Cricetulus griseus: one gene and its partners. The protein of the gene in region 2 purifies or fractionates together with the protein of the main gene of each other region. This does not show direct contact. Links are inferred from orthologs where the notes say so. Each region holds a gene or a part of one and is shown on either strand. Other genes may lie near its edges.

Region 1 (3,653 bases), about 210 Mb from region 2:
AAAAAAAAAACAAGCAAGCAAGCAAACAAACAAATAGAAAAGAAAGGTGGGGGGTGGGGAGAAAACAAAAGAGTTGTCTTTATTATAATTATTCTTTCTATTTAGTTTTAAATGTATTTGTCAGCTATTTTTCAATTTCAAGTGCAGTTGCCCTTGTCTTTACTTTTTATGAGCCTTCTTGTGAAATTTACTCAGCCTCAATATGTATTTGATGACTATTTTTTTTCTTATGTCTCTTGTGATTGTTACATTTTTTAAAAGATTTTATTATTTATTATGTATACAACATTCTGCTTCCATGTATATCTGCACACCAGAAGAGGGCACCAGATCTCATAACGGATGGTTGTGAGCCTCCATGTGGTTGCTGGGAATTGAACTCAGGACCTCTGGAAGAGCAGTCAGTGCTCTTAACCTCTGAGCCATCTCTCCATCCCATTGTTACAGTTTTTGAAACAGACTCTTACAGTGTAGCTCATGTTGGCCTTGAGCTCATGGTCCTTCTGCCTCATCTTCCCAAGTGCTGGCCTTGTAGACATGTCCCAATCCTTATAATTTCTTTATTGTGACTTATTTTTTTTTATTTGAATATTCTTAGACAGTTTAGTGATTAATGTGTGTTGCTATTGCTACCCATCAATAGTATAAAATTATAGACTTATCTATTTATTTGTTTTCATTTTTCTTTAGCTACTCAACAAACCAGAAAATTGTTGTGGACTTAAAGAAAGCCAGATACTTTCTTTACTGTGTGACATAGGTATGTAACTAATATTAAAATATCATTGTGATTTAATTAATGCCTCTTTGGTCCACAAAAACTTCTGTGTACTTCTTAGAAGTTACAGAGAACTGTGTGTATACTCTACAAAGCATGTAGGTTTTTAACATTTATAAAAAATGAGGAAAAACAAAATCTCTGGGCAGTGGTGGCACACAACTTTAATCCCAGTAACTCAGGAGGTAGAGGCAGGTGGATGTCTGTGAGTTCAAGGCCAACCTGGTCTACAGAATGAGGTCCAGGGCAGCTAGAGGTGTACAGAGAAACCCTGTCTCAAAAAACCAACCAAAAAAAAAAAAAAAGAAAGAAAAGAAAGAAGAAAAAAGAAAGAAAGAAAAAGAAAAGAAAAACCCATTTCTAATATTAATTAAAACTAATAGACTTTTGGCATTTGTTTCTATTTGGGGTTTCTCTTTGTTGTTTGTTTTTTGGTTATGTATCCTTGTCCGATAGATGTTCCAATGATAACAAAAATGATATGAAATAGCAATCATTTCATCCCCTCTCACAACTCCCCCAACACTCTCATAGTAGTTTTGTTTATAATGGAATCATATCTTTTGGTGGATAGGTCCTCAAGTTGTCCTGGGATGAAAGTCTCTTTTTAATCAGAAATCCTACTGGTAAACCCTAAAGTAACTATGATTTAAACCTTTGAGAGACCTGAGTCTCCTTGTGTCAGCGGTTGCTGCTCTTCCTAGGTCACAGGCAGCAGAGTCTAAAAATGTGATTTAGGTTGGAGGAAAAGTCTATAGGCTTACAGGTATTTCTTAAAATTTAATTGTTTCATTTGCTTTTAATGTTGATTTGACTAAATTAAATGAGTATACAATTTTTCAGTGTTTATTTGATGATACATTTGGTGAGGAAAATATGAACTGCTCTAATGTTGGTGATGCAGCAGTGATGGATCATTTCAGTGTGTGGGGGTGTGTGTTGTTAAATGTATAGTACATGGGTGTGAACATTGGCCACACTCACAGGAGCATGCATGTGGAGGCCAGAGCAGCATGTCATGTTCTGTTTCTCTGCACTTGATTGTTTTCAGACAGGGTCTCTGACTGAACCGGAAGCTCCACATTTGGGCTAGGCTGGCCTCAGCCAGCTCCTGAGATCTGCCTCTCTCCTCTCAACTCCTCTAGGGTTATTGTTGCACACAGCCTTGCTTGGCTTTTTATGTGGGTGGTGGGGATTTGACTCGGGTCCTCCTGCGTTCAGCGCACTGACCTTTACCCACTGAGCCGTCTCCAAGCCTATGGACATAGAAATTTGTGCATCATTGTAATCTTTGTAAAGTGAGGTGAAAACTGAATGTGGCTGGACATGGTGGCACCCACCTTTAATTCTAACACTAGGGAGGGGAGGCAGATGGATCTCTGTGAGTTTAAGACTAGCAGGCCAATCAGGGCTACATAGTGAGACCCTGTCTAAAAAATGATGAGTGTTGGGGAATCCACTAGAGTCCCTTTAAAGGGGTATAAAGGATTTCTTAGGATACACTTAGGCAAAGAGCCGAAGTGGTCCTCTCTTCTGCCCTGGGGTGAATGGAACCAGCAGTCTGATCTCTGACTACCACATGAGATAAAGCAAGCAACAACCCCCTTCCTTTTAAGAGGTCACGTGGACAGACAACATGCACAGCCTCTATCTAGCCAGACAGCCCAAGGTCATGGGCGGAGCCAATACTCACTACAGCTGAGTGTGCTGGTGCACACCTGCAGTCCCAGCACTTGGGAGCCAATACTCACTACAGCTGAGTGTGCTGGAACACACCTGCAGTCCCAGCACCTTGGAGCCAATACTCACTACAGCTGAGTGTGCTGGTGCACACCTGCAATCCCAGCACTTGGGAGCCAATAATCACTACAGCTGAGTGTGCTGGTACACACCTGCAGTCCCAGCACCTTGGAGCCAATACTCACTACAGCTGAGTGTGCTGGTGCACACCTGCAGTCCCAGCACTTGGGAGGTAGAACGAGCAGATTAGAAATTGGAGGTCATTCTCAGCTGTATAGGGAATTCCACACCAGACAGGGCTATATGAGACACTGTCTCAAAAACACTAACAGTAAAAACAAAGTGTGATCTGATTTTCCAAATGGTATTTCATAATACATTTGAAATTTTATTTAGGATCTGGAATTCGATATTTGCATGAAAACAAAATCATACATCGAGATCTGAAACCTGAAAATATAGTTCTTCATGATGTTGGTGGGAAGGTAGGTGAAGCCTGAAGACTGTTTCATGCTTGTTGTTCTAGTCTTCCTGATATATTGTCTTTAGAGATTTTAGTGTCCTTATTTATTCTATAGACATAGTACTTTATAGGTTTTCTATGTAGCCCTCACTGTATGGAATTGTGGGGCCTTTTTAATTTTAGATTTATTACTATTGTTATTGTTGTTATATTTTATATATGTGTGTACCACATGTGGTGTTTTTGGGGGGCACAAGAAGAGAACATCAAATTCCCTGGGACTAGAATTACAAATCGTTGTGAGCCACAGTGTGGGAGTTTAGAGTTGAACTCAGGTCTTCTTCAAGAACAACAGGTGCCCTTAACTGCTTAACCCACTCTCCAGGCCTGAACTGTAGTTTATGGTTAGATTTTTGTCTTCTCTGCAGAACAATGGCTCCTTAGAGAAGCATCTGTCTTGCTCATCTCTGGATTAGGAATGTTGATCTAATTGTATAGGAAACTGCCAGAGATTAACTAACGTGATCAAGATTATACAGTTAGCTAAGCCCATTACCTGACATCTATAATCCCAGCAATGGCAGGAGGGTTGCTGTAATTTGATACCATCTTGGGTTACAGTGGAGACCTAGTCTCAAAAATTAACAACAACAATAAAAAGATTAACAAAAT
Region 2 (4,129 bases):
CCTGTAATCCCAACACTCAAGAGTCAGAGATAGAGAGCCTGAGACAAGCTGGCCAACTAGAGTTATAGGAATTCATGAGCTCTGGGTTGAGCCAGCGACCCTCTCTCAACAAAAAAGTGTAGAGCAGTCAAGATAGACACTCCATTTCAACTCCAGGCCTACACACACACACACACACACACACACACACACACACAGGTACACACAAGTACATGTACCCACATACATATAAACATGTATATACACATACATGCCCATCCCTCACACACATGTATACATGCAAGAAAATAACTATAGAGGAAAAGGTGTTTGGTTGAAGTAAACAGCTGAGCAAGCAGAGATGGAGCTGCAAATGAAGATTCAGGCTTAGGGTGCTCGTGAGATGGCTCAGTGGGAAAGAGCATATGCTGCTCTTGTGGAGGGAGGACCAGAGGTGAGTTCCCAGCACTCACACTGAATGACTCCAGCTCTGGCTTCTGGCTTCCTTGGCTATGTGCATGTATTCACACATAGTCACAGACACACTGACACATGCGCAAATAAAAATAATAAATCTCTCAAAATTAAAAAGAAAGAGTAACGCCAACTGTTGAAACATGTAGCCAGAACTGTGATAATTTCCATTTAAAGCTCTGAGGAAACATAATAAGACCTCTGGCTTTGATGAGGTACTTTGACTTTAGGATGAGACATAATCGTACAGGGGTCAATGGTTTGGAGGTTCTTAAAGTGGCTTATAACATTTAAGTAGCTTAATTGCTTGTGTCTGTTTGAGCATGTGTTTGTCTCTGACAAGAGCAAACCATATTGAAAATATCCAAAATAAATAGGGATCAGCTGCTAACTGCTGAAAGCCAATTCCATGACACACATAAATAGACTACGTTAAGAATGTTGTGGTGTCATATTAACTGGTGTGACTAAAATAGACCGGTTACTGTGTTTGGGGCATCTACTTGAAGTAACAAAAAGTTGGAAAATGTTTGCCTTGCTGTGCAGGATTAACCCTTAGTTCTCACTGTGGAGGTTAGCCACAGACTTTCCAAAGAGCTCTTTCTCTGCAAGCCAGTTCAGGGGGGATCCAGCAATATGCTTCTCAGAGAAGGAAATAAACACTTTTGTTCAGATGGATAGCAGGCCCATTGGAAGTGCTGGCTGTCCAAGATAAAACACTAAGTGGAGATGGAACGCTAAAAATAATGCATCTTAGGGCTCCTTAAATACAGCATTTGTCTTTTGTCATATTTCTAGGGAACAACCATGTCACCATTTCTTCGAATTGGTTTATCCAATTTTGACTGTGGTACCTGCCAGTCTTGTCAGGGCGAGGCCGTGAACCCCTACTGCGCTGTGCTTGTCAAAGAGTATGTGGAATCAGGTAAGTTAATTGGGATCAGGGTTGGGGAGAATGAGGAGGGAGAGGTGGCTAGGCTAGACAATCATGTGGGAGACAAGACCCTCCATGACCTTGCAGGACAATTGACAGAACTGAATTTCACATTTTAGGACACTAGTACCCAACAAAGACCAAATACTTTCTTAAGAACCCAGGTTTAGTTACGGTTCTGACCAGATCTATTTCACTGTGCCATTTTTTTCACATAAACAAAGATAAGGAGAATATTAAGTTGGGGGAATTAGATCAGGGGGCTAAAGGAGAAGGAATCTAGGAGGTTGAGTATATTAAGTATTATTTGTACTAATAACTCAACTGTTTTCAATGACTACAGGTAAAGCTTGTCTAATCCTAGATCTTGGGATCAACTCCAAAGACTGCTTGTTGTATCATTGCCTCAGCTGAGAGAGGAAGGAAGGAATCTGCTATCATTCTCCATGAATAAAAGAATATTTCTATTATTAACTCTGACTATATATACCCAATTCATGATGAGGAGAAAATTTGGCTCCTGTACCCAAGACTGTTTTTGTTGGTTTAGATAGCTCTGCCAAAACAATCCCATTGGGTAAGGAATCTCTTGGTGATTATGCCCTCTAGCTCCCTCTTGATCCATACCTCTTAATTCCAATATTTTTAAGTCTCTTCCAAAGGAAAGATATGAAGCTATTTATTCCAAGACCTTCCCAGGCTCGCTACCTTGCTCTATATTCCTATATACAGACGGGTAACTATAAAGAATGTGTCTCAGTTCATTTACTCACACACACACACACACACACACACACACACACACACACACACACACACACACACTCTTATGGAGAGCCACTATGAGGACCCTGGGGCTTGAGCAGACAGAAAAACACACTAAAGTATTTACAAAGTCTCCCTTCAGGCTTTCTAGTCTTGCAGAGGAAGACAGGTGATAAGCAAAGCTACAGTGTGATGACTAGCAGTGACGGCTAAAGAGATAAAAAGTATGGCAAGAGGAGAAAGGAGCCAGGGAAGTGAACATTATTCTCAAAGGAGTTCCCCTAAAAGAGTCTCTGTCAGAGACTGGGAGAATTGGTGGATACAAGAGGAAACTGAGGCACACACGGAGAGCCTCTAGCTAGGTGCTGGAAATTCTGAATTCTGCAGTTCCAAATTTTTATCATGCTGTGTTCCCCCACCCCCATCTCTCTTCATGCTCATTTCATCTCTCTAGCTGCTCCGACTGCATCAAAGCCTGGGAGACTGTCTGGATGCCCTTGGTTTCTCTTCTACCCAGAGTTCTCTACTGTCTTAAAAGTGAAAATGCCTCTTGCTTCCACCTAAACCCTTTCAAATGTCACAGACATCTTTGAAGTGTAAAATGGCTGGGTTTTTTCAAAGCTGCTTTTGACTTAATGTGTCTTGTGGATCTGGTCCTGTTTCCAGCTTCAGGTCTCACTGACATTTGCCTCCTGCCAATCTTCCTCTCTTTCTTCCTCTTTCTTTCTTTCTTCCTTCCTTACTTACTTACTTTCTTTTTCTTTTTTCTCCTTCCTCTTCTTTTGGCCTTGCTTTTGAACTTGATCTCATTAGCCACATGGATCAAGACACCCTGTCAGAAAACGAACAAAACTTTTTCCAACAGATTGGCCAATGGACTTCGGATATTTGTTTTGTTTTCTTTTGTTTTTCAGGTTATGTTCTGAAAAGAAGTCACTCTAGATATTACCTAACTAAAAGATTCCTTCTCCAGAATTTAAGCAGGTTTCCATATTTAGGGTATGAGTTTGCATTTTTCATGATAAGATGGAGGAATGGGAGCAAACCAGAAACAGTGCTGTCACCTTGGGACCCTTTGAAAACAGCAGCCCTCACTGTTCACACACAGACAGGCATGCTGGTTAGTTTTAACTGTCAACTTGACACAGTCTAGAGTCACCCAGGAAGAGCATCTTAATGAGAAGTTACCTAGATTATCTTGACCTGTGGGCAGTCTTTGTGGAATTATCTTGACTGTTAATTGATGTAGGAATATCTAGTCCATTTGGGTGGCACCATTCCCTAGGCAGGTGAGTGTAAGAGAGGAGAAAATTAGTCAAAAGCAGGTAATCAAGCCAGTAGGCTTGCAAGAATGTAATTCTCCCTGCTTTCAATTGTGGTTGTGCTATGACTAGCTGCTGCTTGAGTTCCTGGCTTGACATCCTCCTTGGTGATAGACTGTGAGCTGGGATTTCAACCCAAGTAAACTCTTTCTCGCCCAAGACGCTTCTTGTCAGGGTATTTTATCACAGCAACAGAAATGGAACTAGAACAACAGGATTCTTAGTTCTGGTCTGCTTTTTAGGTAATTCTTAACCTAGTGGCTGACTCCTGGATGCTTGCCCCTTGCTGAGCTTGGAAAATGGTTGTAGTGAAAGGGAATAATTTAATAGGGAAGCTTAAAGACTATGATAAATAAGATCATCATTCATTTTCAAAGAACTCAATCTATCATTTGTTTTTTAACCGAACCATAAAAATCTCTTCCTCCCTTCATAGGAGCTCATGAGTGCCCAACCCCAAATTAGGGAGCTAGTGACAGTTGGTGGCTTCTGAGGGAGAGTAAGTCAGTTTTCCTTAAAGGTTGACTCCTGGTAGGTTGACCAGGGTCCAGTGGATGTCTGCATACCAATGTATATGGAGAATACAACAAATTGGACTTGCTGGAGGGAGGAGGAGGAGGAGGAGGAGGAGGAAGAAGAGGAGGAGGAGGAGATG
Region 3 (3,653 bases), on a different chromosome or scaffold from region 2:
TATGAAAAAATATTTAGCCAAGATTTAACTCAGCCAGGTGTTGGTGGCGCACGCCTTTAATCCCAGCACTCGGGAGGCAGAGGCAGGCGGATCTCTGTGAGTTTGAGGCCAGTCTGGTCTCCAGAGTGAGTGCCAGGATAGGCTCCAAAGCTACACAGAGAAACCCTGTCTCGAAAAACAAAAAAAAAAAAAAAAAAAAAGATTTAACTTTTCATGTAAAAATAGAAGCATACATATTTCATTAATCATATTAATATATAAATTTAATATCTATGTATTTAATATCTGTCTTTAATAAGATCTAATACTTGTCTTTAATGGTAAAACTATATACACCAAAAAATTTAAAAATGAATAAATTTCTTTATAATTTATTATCAGTAGATGTTTTATTTATATACTTTGTTTATATATACTTCATATACTTTTATATATTTATATATACTTTATATAGTCTATATTTACATATCTGGGGTAATATGAACATTTCTTGGGCACAAAGTTATCCCAAATGCAAGATTTTGTTTTTGTTTTTGTTTTTTGTTTTTTGTTTTTGAGACAGGGTCTCACTATGTAGTCCTGGATGCTGACTGTCCTGGATACTCACTATGGAGACTAGGCTGGCCTTGAGCTCACAGAGATCCTCTTGCCTCTGCCTCTCCCTCCCCAGTGCTGGGATTAAAGGTGTGCTTTATCATGCTGGGCTCCAAGCAGAAGTTTTAAGTAGCCCTGGTCTGGACCCTGAGCTGCTTGCTGATTTAAGAGCATCTAATGGATATGTACATGCCAATGTTCAAAATCCTCCTGCTGTCCCACACTAGGCTCCTGTGCTCCACCCTGCCCACTTAGGCTCCATGCTGCTTCCACACTGCCCCCTTAGGGGCAACCCCGTGTGCCTCTATAATCCTCCCTGTTGAACCAGCTCTCCTTCATCTGTCCATGTCTTCTCTAACTCTTCCCATCCCTCCTCCCTGCAACTATAGCACAGCCAATGTTACTCCACACTGCTGTAATCCATAGGGCTCCCTCCCCTGTCCCCAAATATGTGAGTAAAGTCACCAACCTGGAGTTTTCTTTTATATTATGACCCAATTCTGATTCACTAATTAAGTGCTTATATTCTAGCTCTAAGCCTAGACCACAGTGCCATTCAAACCTTAAAGGTTTGTTTGTTTAGGCCAGACAAGGAACACAAAGAGGAATAAGGTATAATCCCTACCCTTAAATGACTTCCTGTGGAATAAGACAAACTCTATGCTGAAGTGGATATACTTCAAAGTAGATATCTGTCATAGTTTCAGCTGCCAATGTCAAACCCAGGGTCACCCGGGAAAAGGGAACCTTAAATGAACTGCCTTGAAAAGGTTGGCTGGTAGCCATATCTATGAGCCATTTTCTTACTTGTTAATTGATACAGTGGGGGTTATGGGGGCTAGCCTACTGTGGGCAGTGCCATTCCCTAAACAGGGGGACCTGGGCTGTATAAGAAAGCAGGTTGAGTTGGGGGTGGCGGTACACACCTTTAATTCCAGCACTCAGGAGGCAGAGGCAAGAAGATCTTTGAGTTTAAGGACAGTCTGGTCTACAAAGTGAGTTCCAGGACAGCTAGGGCTATACACCTGAAGGGAGGGGAGGAGAGAGAGAGAGACAGAGAGAGAGAGAGACAGAGAGAGAGAGACAGAGAGAGAGACAGAGAGAGAGAGACAGAGACAGAGACAGACAGAGACAGACAGCTAGGGCTATAAACCCTGAAGGGAGGGGAGGAGAGAGAGAGAGAGAGAGAGAGAGAGAGAGAGAGAGAGAGAGAGAGAGAGAGAGAGTGCAGGCTGAGTAAGCCAGAGGGAACAAGGGAATAAGCAGTATCCTCCATGGTTCTGTTTCAGTTTCTACTCTGGGTTCCTGCTTTGAGTTCTTGTCTTAGCTTCCCTTGAAAACAATAAGATATACAAGTAAATTGCTATGTGAATTTAGCAAAGAGATGGTTTGGGAATGAAGCTCACTGGTAGAGCACTTGCACTGCATAAATGAAGACATGGATTTCATCTCCATAGCAAAAACCAACCAACCAATTAACAACAAAAAGATTCTAGGGAGACCAGATACAAGAATCCATTCTATGTCTGAAGTTGATCTGGATTGGTCAAGTGCTCAATCATAGGATGGTATTCTGTTATCCATTCAAACGTTATCAAAGGGTCTGAAGATAGCTCGGTGGTTAACAGCACTGGCTGCTCTTGCCTAGGACCTAGGTTTGGTTCCCATGATCCACACATGGCAGCTCACAACTGTCTACAACTCCAGTTTCAGGGGATCTGATCCCTCTTCTGGCTTCCACAGGTACCAGTCTCTCAAGCATATACAACTAAAACAAACAAATGTATCAGATGTCACCTCAAACCTGTATTTCTAAAGAGAAGAAAAATAAACAGGACACGAATGCCCGGTGGCCATACCTGTTAAGATTATTGGGGAAGGGTAAAGAGCTGGAAAACTTCACTGTTCCATTCAAATCTTCACTGACAACAATGTCCACTTCACTCTTCTGCCGGACTTTGGAATGCCTGTAAATGCCATTTTAAGATGTCCTTTATGTCACTCAGTGGCAAATACCCAGTTTACATCTGTAACCTCACTTTACAACTGCATACTTGTTGAAATAACGGTGAGTATGCCGACAGGTTTGTGAATGGTCTGTGTGGTTAGGGGTTTAGCTCAGCGGCAGTGAGTCCCCTTAGCATGAAATAAAACACAGTATGTGTCTGGTGCTGCCTAAACAGAGGTGAAAGGACACCTCCAGCAAGGCCACTCATCAGCTCGTGTCCCAGTTCTACAGGCAGCACTGTTGACCTCTGTCTCACCTTGATTATTGCTTTTACCCTTCTTTACCTCATCTTTACCCTCATAAAGAAGGGTAGATTATTGCATCTACCCTTCTTTAACCTCATTTTAAAAGACTTATTTTCAACTACACGTGTGTGTGGACAGACATGTGACTTCTGTGAGCTGCCTGATGTGGGTACTGAGAATCAAACCCAGGTCCTCTGGAAGAGCAGCCAGTGCTCTTAACCTCTGAGCCATCTCTCATGTTTTGGTAAAGGATAAAACCAGGGTTCTGAACTAGTGTCACTTTGTACACATCACATTTATTTGAAATGTAAAATATACACACATGTACATGGCTACATTTTTAAAATTACATCTATTTATTTGCACACATATGTGTGTGCTCATGTACATGTATGCACACCCTCCTCTCTGTGGCATGCATGCCTGGGGCATCAGAGGACAACTTAAGGGAACTGGTTCTCTCCTCCTACGGCTGGGGCTCCAGAGACAGAACTCAGGTTGTCAAGCTTGGTGACATGTGCCTCTACCAATTAGCTACCAAGTAAGGTAAGGGAGGCCCACACTTCCCTTTACAAGTATGTGGCTAAGCATTTTTTCTAGAATAAATGATCTTCATATTTCCCAATGGAGGGACTTTCCAAAGGTATTTGAGGGAGTGCTGGAAAGGGAAAAATTGAATCCAAGCGCATTCTAAACTTCTTGGTAACGAGGACAACTTAAATTGGAATAGTGCTTTATAAAATGACCAAATATTCTGCCAGAGTTCCTTTGGTTTCAGTGCTAACCCCATGTGGTGACATTATTTT

Evidence for each region.
Region 1: the proteins of Prkcq (region 2) and Chuk purify together in Homo sapiens (affinity purification with western blotting, with the first as the bait; 3 studies listed by BioGRID). This does not show direct contact. The link is inferred for Cricetulus griseus from reciprocal best matches to the Homo sapiens genes PRKCQ and CHUK.
Region 3: the proteins of Prkcq (region 2) and Ikbkb purify together in Homo sapiens (affinity purification with western blotting; 4 studies listed by BioGRID). This does not show direct contact. The link is inferred for Cricetulus griseus from reciprocal best matches to the Homo sapiens genes PRKCQ and IKBKB.

What each region holds. Positions count from the first base shown.
Region 1 is NC_048596.1:17,451,708-17,455,360, forward strand, and holds part of Chuk (inhibitor of nuclear factor kappa-B kinase subunit alpha), read left to right. Parts: intron 1-690; coding exon 691-760; intron 761-2,914; coding exon 2,915-3,003; intron 3,004-3,653.
Region 2 is NC_048596.1:228,004,212-228,008,340, forward strand, and holds the start of Prkcq (protein kinase C theta type), read left to right. Parts: upstream 1-1,260; coding exon 1,261-1,378; intron 1,379-4,129. UniProt on the Homo sapiens protein: Calcium-independent, phospholipid- and diacylglycerol (DAG)-dependent serine/threonine-protein kinase that mediates non-redundant functions in T-cell receptor (TCR) signaling, including T-cells activation, proliferation, differentiation and survival, by mediating activation of multiple transcription factors such as NF-kappa-B, JUN, NFATC1 and NFATC2.
Region 3 is NW_023276807.1:61,017,840-61,021,492, reverse strand, and holds part of Ikbkb (inhibitor of nuclear factor kappa-B kinase subunit beta), read right to left. Parts: intron 2,562-3,653; coding exon 2,454-2,561; intron 1-2,453.